2 linked regions of the Drosophila melanogaster genome follow. The protein of the gene in region 2 purifies or fractionates together with the protein of the main gene of each other region. This does not show direct contact. Each region holds a gene or a part of one and is shown on either strand. Other genes may lie near its edges. The genes, in order: Arglu1 and CG5646.

Region 1 (6,056 bases), on a different chromosome or scaffold from region 2:
ATGCAGCTAAGAGCTTTGCCGATTTTCCACTTAATTAATTAATCAAATTGCAACATCCGCCCAAGATCGCCGCTATGTCTAAATCTCGATCTGGATGTGGGTCTGGGCTGGTCAGGTGGCGGTGCCGTTGCCTTCGCCTTTCACGCTACAAAGGCTCGCTAGCGAACACGTTGCCAAATTCGATATGAAGTAATAAGCTGGTCAAGTCGAGGTGGGGGTCAGGTGGAGTTTCGTTGGAGCGGAGTACCTTGGTGCGTATGCATAACAGGCATATCTTGCGCCACATTCGCTTAGAACCACATTACGACTCTGAGTGAAGTCGCCTACCAATTCGGCATCCCCGCCTCCTGCGCACGCACGCACTTGGACAGATCGGACACCGCCGCCTCTCCACCTGATCGCAGCCTCCAGTTCCATGCTACGCGCGGGCGTGCCGGCTGTCGCCCGCTGTCCAGCGTCGCCCAACCCAATCAGCAACAAGAGACATATAAATTGAAGTAGTCTCTATAAATAATAAGTTGTGTCTACTTAGCGACATGTACACTGGCTTAGATCGTGTCCGATACCAAAGGGGATCGGGGGATTCGGTGGAGGATGGAGGAGCTGAAAAGCGCACGTATGTTTTGGCAAAACTGTCAAATTTACTAAGCGAATGGTGCTTAATTCGCTCGCTAATGCACTTGTAGCTCTTGCATTGCAAATCTGAAACACTTAAGCTTATACAGATTATATATAATAATATTCAACTTTTGGCATTTCTAAAGTTTTTTATTATCGATTTCAGCTGATTTCTATGTTTTCTTGAAATATCAAAAAATTGCAAATAGATTACATATGTATTTCACTGACATCTTTTTGGTTTTCTTTTTTTTTTTTTCTTCTTTTTTGTTAATCGTTCAGCTGTGACAACAATACGACGCACTACACATAATCATTTGTCTCACATATGAATTCTTTATGTAGAAAAGGTTAAGTAAATCGCTAGCGTATTGTACTATATAGAGCCGTATGTGTTCAGTAATTGGCAATTTTGAAAACGTTGAATCTATTGGCTGTGCTTTGCCTGCTCTCAGCACCACAGCTCGTCCTTAAAATAATAAAAATAATATAGAACACAATTACAACAATGAAAACGAGTGCATGGTCTGTGTCGCAGGCAAATAGCCACTGAGGTAAAAAAAAAAGCAAAAGCTGTTAACAAGAAAAGGTGCGACGGTCACCAGACTGATGCCTACGCTCCTCATAATGCGCCCGGTTTCAGGGAGAACGATAGCTTGGGCCTGGAATTGTTTTTGCCTAATATGACCTTCTGCTCTTCCTTGACGCGCTTCTCCTGCTCCTTGCGCATGCGTTGCCGCTCCTCGTCCATAAGGCGCTGCTCCTCGATTATTGCTAACCGTTCTTCGGCCTAAAGAAAAAAGAAATCAATTATGATCATAATAATATGGTTTGTTTGCTATGAATTCTTACCAGTTTTCTTTGCGCCTCTTCGATTTTGCGATTGTTTTCGGCCAAAATTTCTTCGAGCTCTTCGCGTTTTTGTTTTTCATCCTCCTATAAAACCCAAACAAGAAGACGATTAATAACAAAAATCGATCCTTTAGCGAGAAGCTTAATGCTAATTATAGAAATAAACAGTCTCTTGACATCAGCGATGCAAACTGTGCGACGAATTCGACGCACGTTTGTGGTTGCAGTTTTTTGCTTGATGAGCTGCAAAGGCAGTTAAAATCTAGTTTTATGTTTAACAATAAGTTACAAAGAATATTTTCGGTAGAAAGTAAAACATTTAGTAGTGTCTAATAAGAATGTTTAAAGTAGGTTGTTCTTTTAGTTTATTACAATAAAGGAGCACACAACATAAACAAATGTACTAGTATTTGCTAAATGGTTGGTCTTCATTTGGTTTTTTTTTTTTTTTATTGTTGCTACTTACTATTTAAATAGGTCATTATTCCAGTAAATAGGCTAAATTTGTGTTAATTTATGGTTTTCTTTTTTTTTTTTTTTGCAGATTTTCGATTTGGGATTATTTTTGTGGAGTTTTTCGCTATTCCAGACGTACATATGTAATTTGCTCGCAAAAACAAAAAGCTTAAACACAAATAAGTGGCAATCCAATGCGTATCCGGTTTCAAAAATTCTTACAGACAGAGTTCTATAGAGCTAAACCCTGGGGGGAGTCTTTGAGTCTTTGGGTCTGTGCGCCGTCCTTTCTCGCCTGTTATCCTTACGGCTGCTGGGCAACATCACACATCGCTGGCGTAGGAAACTCACCCGTTATCAAAAGTGGCAGTGATTTGATTTGCATGCAGCGTACTGTTGGGACTAAACTCAGTCGGCCCGCCCACAACTAGAGTGCCTAACTACCCGGACTAACTTAGGGACACCATACCACTTCGCTGGGCTTTGGTATTTCTTTGATTCTTTTGATATTTATTGTTTGGTGTGGAGGAAATGCGTCCGTGGACCAATCGCTCGGCAGCAGGCTTGCTCAACTTCCGGCATGGCGGCACAACGTGGAGTGCACGCGAGTGTTTTGCGGGTAAGGATCACAAAACAGCCACACACACCCACTTGCATACGGGACAAGAGCAGCACGTTCGTTGCACGGGCCTACTGAAGCGGAATTTGCGCGCAATAACAACAACAACGAGTTACGAGAACCAATACCAAAAAAATTAAAATGATACAGTATGTGGGTAGGAACGAACAAAAGATGAAGCTAAGAGTATGCAATAAGTCTGCAATAATGGGCATCAAAACTTTGACACATGCGACACTTGGCAATGTCGTCATTTTGGCTTTTTTGGTAGGAAAAATAAAAAGTTACAAAATTATTGGCAAGAAGAAAAAAAGGGGCAAAACGAGCCGTGGCGTTCTCATCTCGGCTCACAGCATTTAGCTTGCTGCATCATGTGGGGAGGGCTCTGAAAAGTTGCGACTGGTTAGTGATGTACCCGGTTAGTGGGCGCCCTTGGCCCAGGGTTATGCAAGCAATCTAGTACGGGGAGGCTGCTGATGGGACATGGGTTGATGGATGAACAGCCAGTGAGCCGCGACTGAGAGCGCCGCCGGATCGATTTCGCGTGACGTGGTGGAGACGACTGTTTGAACTGCTGTTTTGGATTTATTCAAGTGTACGGTAAATGTGGCATTGTGTACGTGTTTCTGACAGTGATAGCAGCAGTCGTCCAGCGGAATCTGAATACGAGCACCTACCTCGCGCCGGCGTTCTTCTTCGCGTATCTGCTCTCGCCGCCGCTCCAGCTCCAGCATCATTTCGCGCTCCATCTCAGCCTTGGCGGTCTCAACGCGTCGATTGACCTCCTGTTCGATTTCGTCGCGACGCTTTTCTAGCTCCTCCTCGACGCGCTTTTTTACCAGCATCTCTATGCGCTTGGCGGCTTCCTCTTCGATTGTCTTTTGCTCGAGCTCCTTCGCCCGACGCTGCCGCTCCATCTCGGCCAGGCGTTCGACCTGCATCTGGTTTTGCTGTAATGGTAGATCATAGTTTAGTTGCTTTCATCGAAACAGTTGTATCATAAGCGCAGCATGAGTGTCCATCCCGGAAAAATGCGTGTATGGAATGCGTACCCATGGAGTGCTCAAGATGACAGACTATGGACACTATCCACTTACCTCATCCAGCTTCTTAAAGCGGCTGCGCTTCTGTTTGCTACGTTGCGACTCCTGCTCGGAGTACTGACTGTCGCTGCTCGACGAGCTGGAGCGTTTTCGGGATTTCAGGATCGAGGGGGAGTGACGGTAGTCGCGCTCAGTGTGTCGGTCGCTGCGGTGTCTATCCCGCTCGCGGTCCCTGTCCCGTTCGCGATGTCGTCCATGGTTGTTCACCTCCGAGGACTTGTCTCTATCCGTTCTTGTGCTGGGCCGCTCGTGGTCGTGGTGGGACTTACTGCGTTTTTTGTGCTTGCTCTTATGGTGGCGTCGCTTGCCCGACGGACTGGGTGTACGTGAACGGGAGCCCATGGTGCTGGATTGTGTGATTGTATAAGATTTCGAGCTAGTCGAAGGGCTTAACTTGGCTGCCACAACAAATCAATGAGAGCGAATTTAATTTCTCGAGCAATTTTCACAGATGCCTTAAAACAGTGTGCACAACGTTGGCATACTGGCCTGACATAATTCTGGTATTTTTTTTGATACGGTATTTTCTGTGCTTTTTTTATTTTAATTTCTGTGTTGCCCAACATTAGACCGGCAATTGTTTTCAGTTCACATTGGTTTGTTTTGATCTAAAATCATTTGGTGGAACTTGTCGATCATGACTTGGTTATCCTTAAAGCCGACGCACTGCTTGGCCTCCTCCTTGGGCAGCCACTTGAGGTCGGTGTGCTCCTCGGAGAGAATGGGCTCCTGGCAGGGATTCCGCAGCTCCGCTAGCCAGTAAATAACAATCTTCGGCTTGTCTTGCACCTGATAATTCAGGGTCAGCGGAGTGTCCTTGTATATGATCAGATCCTTCTCGTCGTACCTATGAGAGCATTTTTGAAATTAAGCATGTTTTAAAAGATATATCGTTGTGCACTTTCCCGGCTTCCTCTTTCGTTTCTCGCAGGGCAGTGGTAAAATCATCCTCGCCTGGGTCCACATGTCCCTTGGGAGAACTCCAGTGGAAGGAGCCGTAGGAAGCCTTCAGCAATAGGTATTGTATTTCCCCACAAAGGCGGCGAAAAATAACAAAACCAGCTGCCTTTTCCATGTTGTTGCTATCAATTAACCGAAACAGGTGTTTGAACAGTGCTCGAAAGTCTCCAATAACAGTGGTGCTTTTCTAGCTGTTTCCCTCTTTTGCTTATTAGTAGTTCACTTCGTGTGAGAGGAAATTAGTCAGTGTTGAAAAGCGAATGCAGATTTAACGTATGCTTGCGGACTTGCACGTTGTTTTGTAAATTCATTACATAAATTGAGAAGAAGTGCATCCGATATGTACGCCCTGCTTCGCCGCTTTGCCGGCGTCACCAACTTGGGATGTCCCATCAGAACCTACGCCTCCCTTACGCCCAGAGATGTATTGCGGAGCAGCGATGAGACCGGCACACTGCTGACCCGCTTCGCCAAGCACATTGCACTGGAGCGCTACAGGGATTCGGATCACGTGTTGCCCAAGACGACGGTCCGGTACTCTGACTTCTTTCCCATCACGGACGACCGGTACTTTCAGCGGACGGTAGAGAAAACGGATGCAGCCCAATTGCCCGCCCTGATCATCCAGGCATCCAGCTATCGCTCCAATGCCGCTGTACCCATGTATGTGACTGCGCTTAACACGTTGGATAACCATGCGGCTAAACAGCTGGACAAGATGGATACCGCCACAGTGCTCGAGACGCTCTACTCCTTTCTATTCCTCATACCAAGTTGGATAAAGCGATTGGATTTTTACCAAGCAGCCATGCAACGACTGGTCAGGGAGGATTTTCGCGGCAACAAGGAGCGATTCGTTCAGGTGTGCTTCTATATGGGATTGCAAAAGAAGCAGGCCAAATCTTCTGAGGAATTCCAGCAACTCCTGGAAGAGCATCTACAAACGCATTTGCCTGAACTAAATGAAATGGACCTTGCCGTGGTCAGCAATGCGGCGTACAAAACCTCAACTTTGGTAACCGGTGAGGCGAAAACGGCATACGAAGCAAGACTCGTTAATGCCATATTAAATCTGGAGATAAACACCGGAAGCGATGCCTTGCTGGTCTCCTTTGTCAAGGCATTGCGTCTGCAGCAAGTCAAAGATGAACGAGTGTGCCAGCACCTGCAAGATATCTGTCTGGATCCTGTAAAGATAACCCATATTGAACCCCGAGGACTTGCCCATATCTTTGCATTCTTTGCCGAGCAGCTTTGGGATCAGAATGAATGCCTAACTGTCGTCGTAAAACGACTCATGACTCTTCTCAAGCCTGGAGACCTGCGCTCCAAAGACTTGGCCACATTCCTGTGGGCCAGCGCTCAACTCAATTGTGCATTGACTCCTGAGGAAATCAGACAATTGGAACTGACCGCCCTGCGCAAGCTGGATCATGGGGAGTACGAAT
Region 2 (4,581 bases):
CGGCTCCACAAACAACTGCACATACTACCACTAATAAAATTAAGATTAAATTGTGCGCAATTCGACATTAATTCACTTGCACAATTTTTCCTGCCATTTTTTTCGGCGGCTGCTCATTGCAACTCGCTGCGTTTTTGCGCTGACCATATGTGTCTGCCCATATATTCACTGGACATGGGTCATTAAGTGCAGCACGATGAAAATAAGAAAAATAGCACGCTGTATGTACACTTTGTTACTTCGATTTGCGTTTATCTCTGTTTTTTAACGAACGCGACGCGATGTTGTGTTGTTGTTCATCGTTCGACTCGGTGTGACCGTTCGCAGAACAGTGCTAATAAACTGCGGAGTTACACACTCGCCTTCTGGCAGTGCGGTCACACCAATTCGATGTTTTCAACATTCATAGAAATGGTTGATAACACGGATAGCGCATACTCAAACCGATTTGAATGTTTTCTAAATTCAAAAACTTGTTCCTATTGTTCAAACCAAAGATTTTTAAAAAAATTAGATCTAACTTTAGAGGCAGATCTCAAATACTCAGCAATATAACCTTGTTCATGGACGCAATTTGTCATCATTTTAATTTTAAAGCTTACAAAATTGAGGTGCATTTCGAAAATATTAAGCCCGTGTTGATACGATAAAACGTTTACAAAGTGAGGCAATTAAAGCTATTTGTTAGTGCTGTTAAACAGCATTGAAGTAAATTATAGAATAGGTTTGCATTTTTCGATCACACTCATTCTCAGTTGACAACAATGTACACAGCATACAAACTAAGGCTCCTAATCTCCACCAGACTGCCTGGGTCATACGTAGGTGCCGTTCCACCGCTGACACCACTCCAGCGCATACTCGTAGCCCAGGAAAGTGGCGGCATTGAAGGGAACCGCCCGCGCCACCAGCATCCAGCTGCCGCGGAAGATGCTCCTCCAGCCGTAGGCTCTGTACTGCACCCGCACGCAATGGAAGATGCCCCGGTACTTGTGATTCTCATCCGCCTGCATCAGCGTCTTGACCACGTCGAACGGAATGACACACACCCACGAGATGACTCCCGCCCAGGCGCCGGCCAGCGTGGTCACCAGCAGGTTCACACTGGATCCGTCCGACTGACTGCGTCGCCGGCGCACAAAGTCCCGCCTGTCCATGTAGTCAACGCCCTGGCGATAGGCCAGCATATAGATTCCATAGGGCAGGACGTCGCTGTAACCAAACGACCATTGAAAGATTCATGTATTTTTGGACTACCACCTGGACTAACTTACCGGCACATCATGGGCAAAAGGCCGCGATAGAGCCCCGAGATGCCATCAGTCTTGAGTATCCTTTTGAACGTGCCAAAGGCGGTCCTTCTCTGGCCATACAGATAGTCACTGTAATCTACGGAATTTCACAAATTAATCCTCCATTTTGGGATTAAAAAATCAAGTAGAACCCACAAGTGGCTGTCTGCAGGCGAACCTTGATCAGCTCCATGGGACAGGCGATGAAGGACTGCACGAATCCCGCCACAGAGCCCGCCAGGAACATGTTGTGGTACTCCAGCTGCTCCCGCTGGTAGTCACTGTGGCACACCTTTCTCAGCTGCCGCAGATGGTTTCCATAGATGCCGAAAAGCAGCGAGTTGATCGCTCCCGTCGAGATGAACGGGAAGAACATGCCCCTGTAGAAGCCGTTGACCTTTGAGGCGATGCTGATCGATTAAACCCATCACGACCCACCTAGGCGCTCTAAGGGATTGCGTCCAGTCGGAGTCGGGATTAAGAATAGGACAAAGCCATTTTGGCTGGTTTAAATATTTGAAAAGTTATGAATAAAAAAGGAGATTGGAAGATCGACATGTACATCGTTATCCAAATATTTCACATAAAATTTGTATCCTTGAAAAAAAGTTTCCAACTAGACGCAATCCTTCTTTCCAAACTTACCCCATTATTTCTGCTGTAGATCTGTTGAATGGCTGTCACAACGGATGAATTTGAGGCCTGTTGCCAAACTTTGATCGTGTCGAGTGGGTGGGCCACCAGCACCCCGCAGGCACCTGAATATCAGAGTATAAAAATCAAGAATGCAGCATAAATTAATTAAAATTGTGGCCACAAAGTTAAACAACACATGTTGAACGGCCGCCGCCGCCGACAGCCGCTTGCCAAGAATCCGATGGATCAGGGGCGCCGCACGTGAACTTGACCATGGCGCCCGTTTTCCGCCGGGACTGAGGCAGTTCCCCTCAACAAGTGGCCTATCGCCACACGGCTGCTGCATTGCGTCATGCATGGCCCAGAGTTCTGACCAAATTGGGATGAATACCAGCTGGAGCTCTGCCGCTCCGTCACTCACCACCAAAGCATCCGGCCACAAAGTCGCAGTAGTTCTCCCACTTCATGGATGCGGATTTTCAGCGAACGCTTGGAGTTTTCGGAAAATTGATTTTTCTCGCGATTTTCCAACTGCACCTCACGACGGCAGCGAACCAACTGCAGTGCACAGCTTTTGTGGCTCGGCAGCAAAGCTCTGCGATTTCGCCAGCTTTCCCAGCGAACAGAAGCTGATTGCTAAAAAATAGGCAAACCGAATGCTCACTTTTCAAAAAAAGATACTTTCTAACGAAAAAGTAACTCTGCTAAGCATAATGATATCTTGTGGGTATACAGCTCAAAACTATTCAGTTCTAAACTTAAAATTTTCAAACCAAACTTTCTAGAATTTTTCCTACGCATAGGAAAAAGAAGTGTAGAAAGTTTCTTAGCTTTTCACTTCAAGTTCAAAGGAATATAAATCCTTTAATTTTAAAAATACTATTTTGAATCCTATCTAAAATCAAACACGTTGTGTTAATTATTTTGTATTTATTAATTTTTTATTGTTGATTGATCTCTTTGCTTCTTTTCTCTCCGTTTGCTCATCATTCTCATTCATTCAGTTTTTGTGTGTTTTTTTTTTGTTTCATCTTTTACTTGGTTTTTAATCATTTTTGGTTAATTCTGCTTGCAGCTAAATATTTGTTTTTGCCTGCGCCATGCAATTTTAATTATTTTTTTTTCTGCTGCTTCTCGCCATTAGTTAGTTAATTTACTTTATTTTCGCATACTTTCTGCCTGGATTCGAAAGCAATCAACTAAACCTCTTTTTTCCGATGCTTCTCCATATATAATTTTCCTTTTTTATATATATATGCTGTTTATATATACCTATATATATATATATTTATTCCCATTTATGTTTGTGTAATTATAATTTACTCTTTATATTTACTCTCAGCATAAGATTTTGTTTAGTCGTGTGTGTGTGTGTGAGTGAGTAAGTGTGTGTGCGATTGTGGGTGGTGTGGGTGCTGTGTGCCTTTAACCAAAGGAAAAAAGAATCGAAATCCTGGCACACCGGCCTACACAGAACTAGAACTCAAAGTTTAAAAAACGTAATAATATAGCGTGTGTACGATAGGTTTTTTTTTTTACAAGTCTAGAACATAAGAAAATACATGATTTACATATATATTTATCCGTTCGCATTTCATTGTTAGTATCCATAGTTTTTAAATTGTTTAAGCGCTTTAACTATTTAGCTCTTATTGTTGCTGCCTTGGCTAGCTGATCCGTTGTTCGGCATTTTCATTTGTTAAGTGTTTTTTGTTTTTTTTTTTGAGTGTTTCTTCTGATCTCGGATGCAACGTTGTTAATGCGACTTTATTTGTAGTACACATCTTAGTTAGTACAGGGTTTTCTCTCTAAAAGTACTTAACGAGTTTTGCATTTGCTTAAACCTCTTCGCTCAGCTGGCTCTAAGCAGCTTCCGCAGTTACGAATTAACATGCTCCATTTGTTTATACATATAAATACAATAATAGAAACTATAGTTAAAGTTACCATTTTTTTTTTTTACTTTGAATGCGGACTAAACAGATTAACTCAGAGTGCAACAAAGGTGTTGATCACAAAACAAACGAAATGATGATGAAGAGGCAATAATCATTGAACCACTTATGACTTATACAATATGTTCTTTTTATCGTTTATTAGGCATTCTTTTTCAACATTTTTCATTAATCTTAATCTAATGCTTGTTGCTTACTTGATTTCTGGTTTCGTTTTTACACTTGCGTTATTTGAATATGTTCTTCTTTTTTGTTTTACTGATTGGCATCCTAGGCAAACATCAACTTTAACTAGAGATGGGTCCTATTCGTTTTTCGGATCTGCTAGTTAGGATCTGAGATTGGTGTTAGTTACTAGATGGGCATAACAAACAGGTCGAGTCGATAAGTGCTGCCTGTTCGAGTTTTAACATTTCTTCGTGTTTCATTATATTTGGTGTTCTTCTTGGAATCTTTTGAAAGGCAGTAGGACTTAACGCTCGGGGGCTATAGGATTCGATCTGATCGCTATTGTGGGCTAATGAGGGGAGGCAGGGAGGGATGATACTCGTGGGTAGTTTGTAGTAGCTCTAGTTGTAGTTTGCTGTTTAGGCTTGGGCTTCGTTTAGCTATTTCATTTGTTTAATTACACGCTAATATAAAGATGCAAAACTTTCTTACACACACGTCGCTTAGTATTTAGGCCATGGGTTCAATTT

What was found.
Region 1: the proteins of CG5646 (region 2) and Arglu1 purify together in Drosophila melanogaster (affinity purification with mass spectrometry, with the first as the bait; one large-scale study listed by BioGRID). This does not show direct contact.

What each region holds. Positions count from the first base shown.
Region 1 is NT_033779.5:9,934,016-9,940,071, forward strand, and holds Arglu1 (arginine and glutamate rich 1), read right to left. Parts: upstream 4,120-6,056; 5' UTR 3,991-4,119; coding exon 3,643-3,990; exon of another isoform or gene 3,496-3,642; coding exon 3,223-3,495; coding exon of another isoform or gene 2,989-3,222; exon of another isoform or gene 1,555-2,988; coding exon 1,471-1,554; intron 1,409-1,470; coding exon 1,241-1,408; 3' UTR 752-1,240; downstream 1-751. Other genes in the region: CG4619 (uncharacterized protein), read left to right, coding at 4,949-6,056. UniProt on the Drosophila melanogaster protein: Post-transcriptional regulator of gene expression; modulates splicing and premature cleavage at cryptic polyadenylation sites of its own pre-mRNA through binding and regulation of the U1-snRNP complex.
Region 2 is NT_033777.3:27,558,826-27,563,406, forward strand, and holds CG5646 (uncharacterized protein), read right to left. Parts: upstream 2,495-4,581; 5' UTR 2,396-2,494; coding exon 2,350-2,395; intron 2,146-2,349; exon of another isoform or gene 2,103-2,145; intron 2,051-2,102; coding exon 1,938-2,050; intron 1,690-1,937; coding exon 1,449-1,689; intron 1,390-1,448; coding exon 1,275-1,389; intron 1,213-1,274; coding exon 816-1,212; 3' UTR 554-815; downstream 1-553.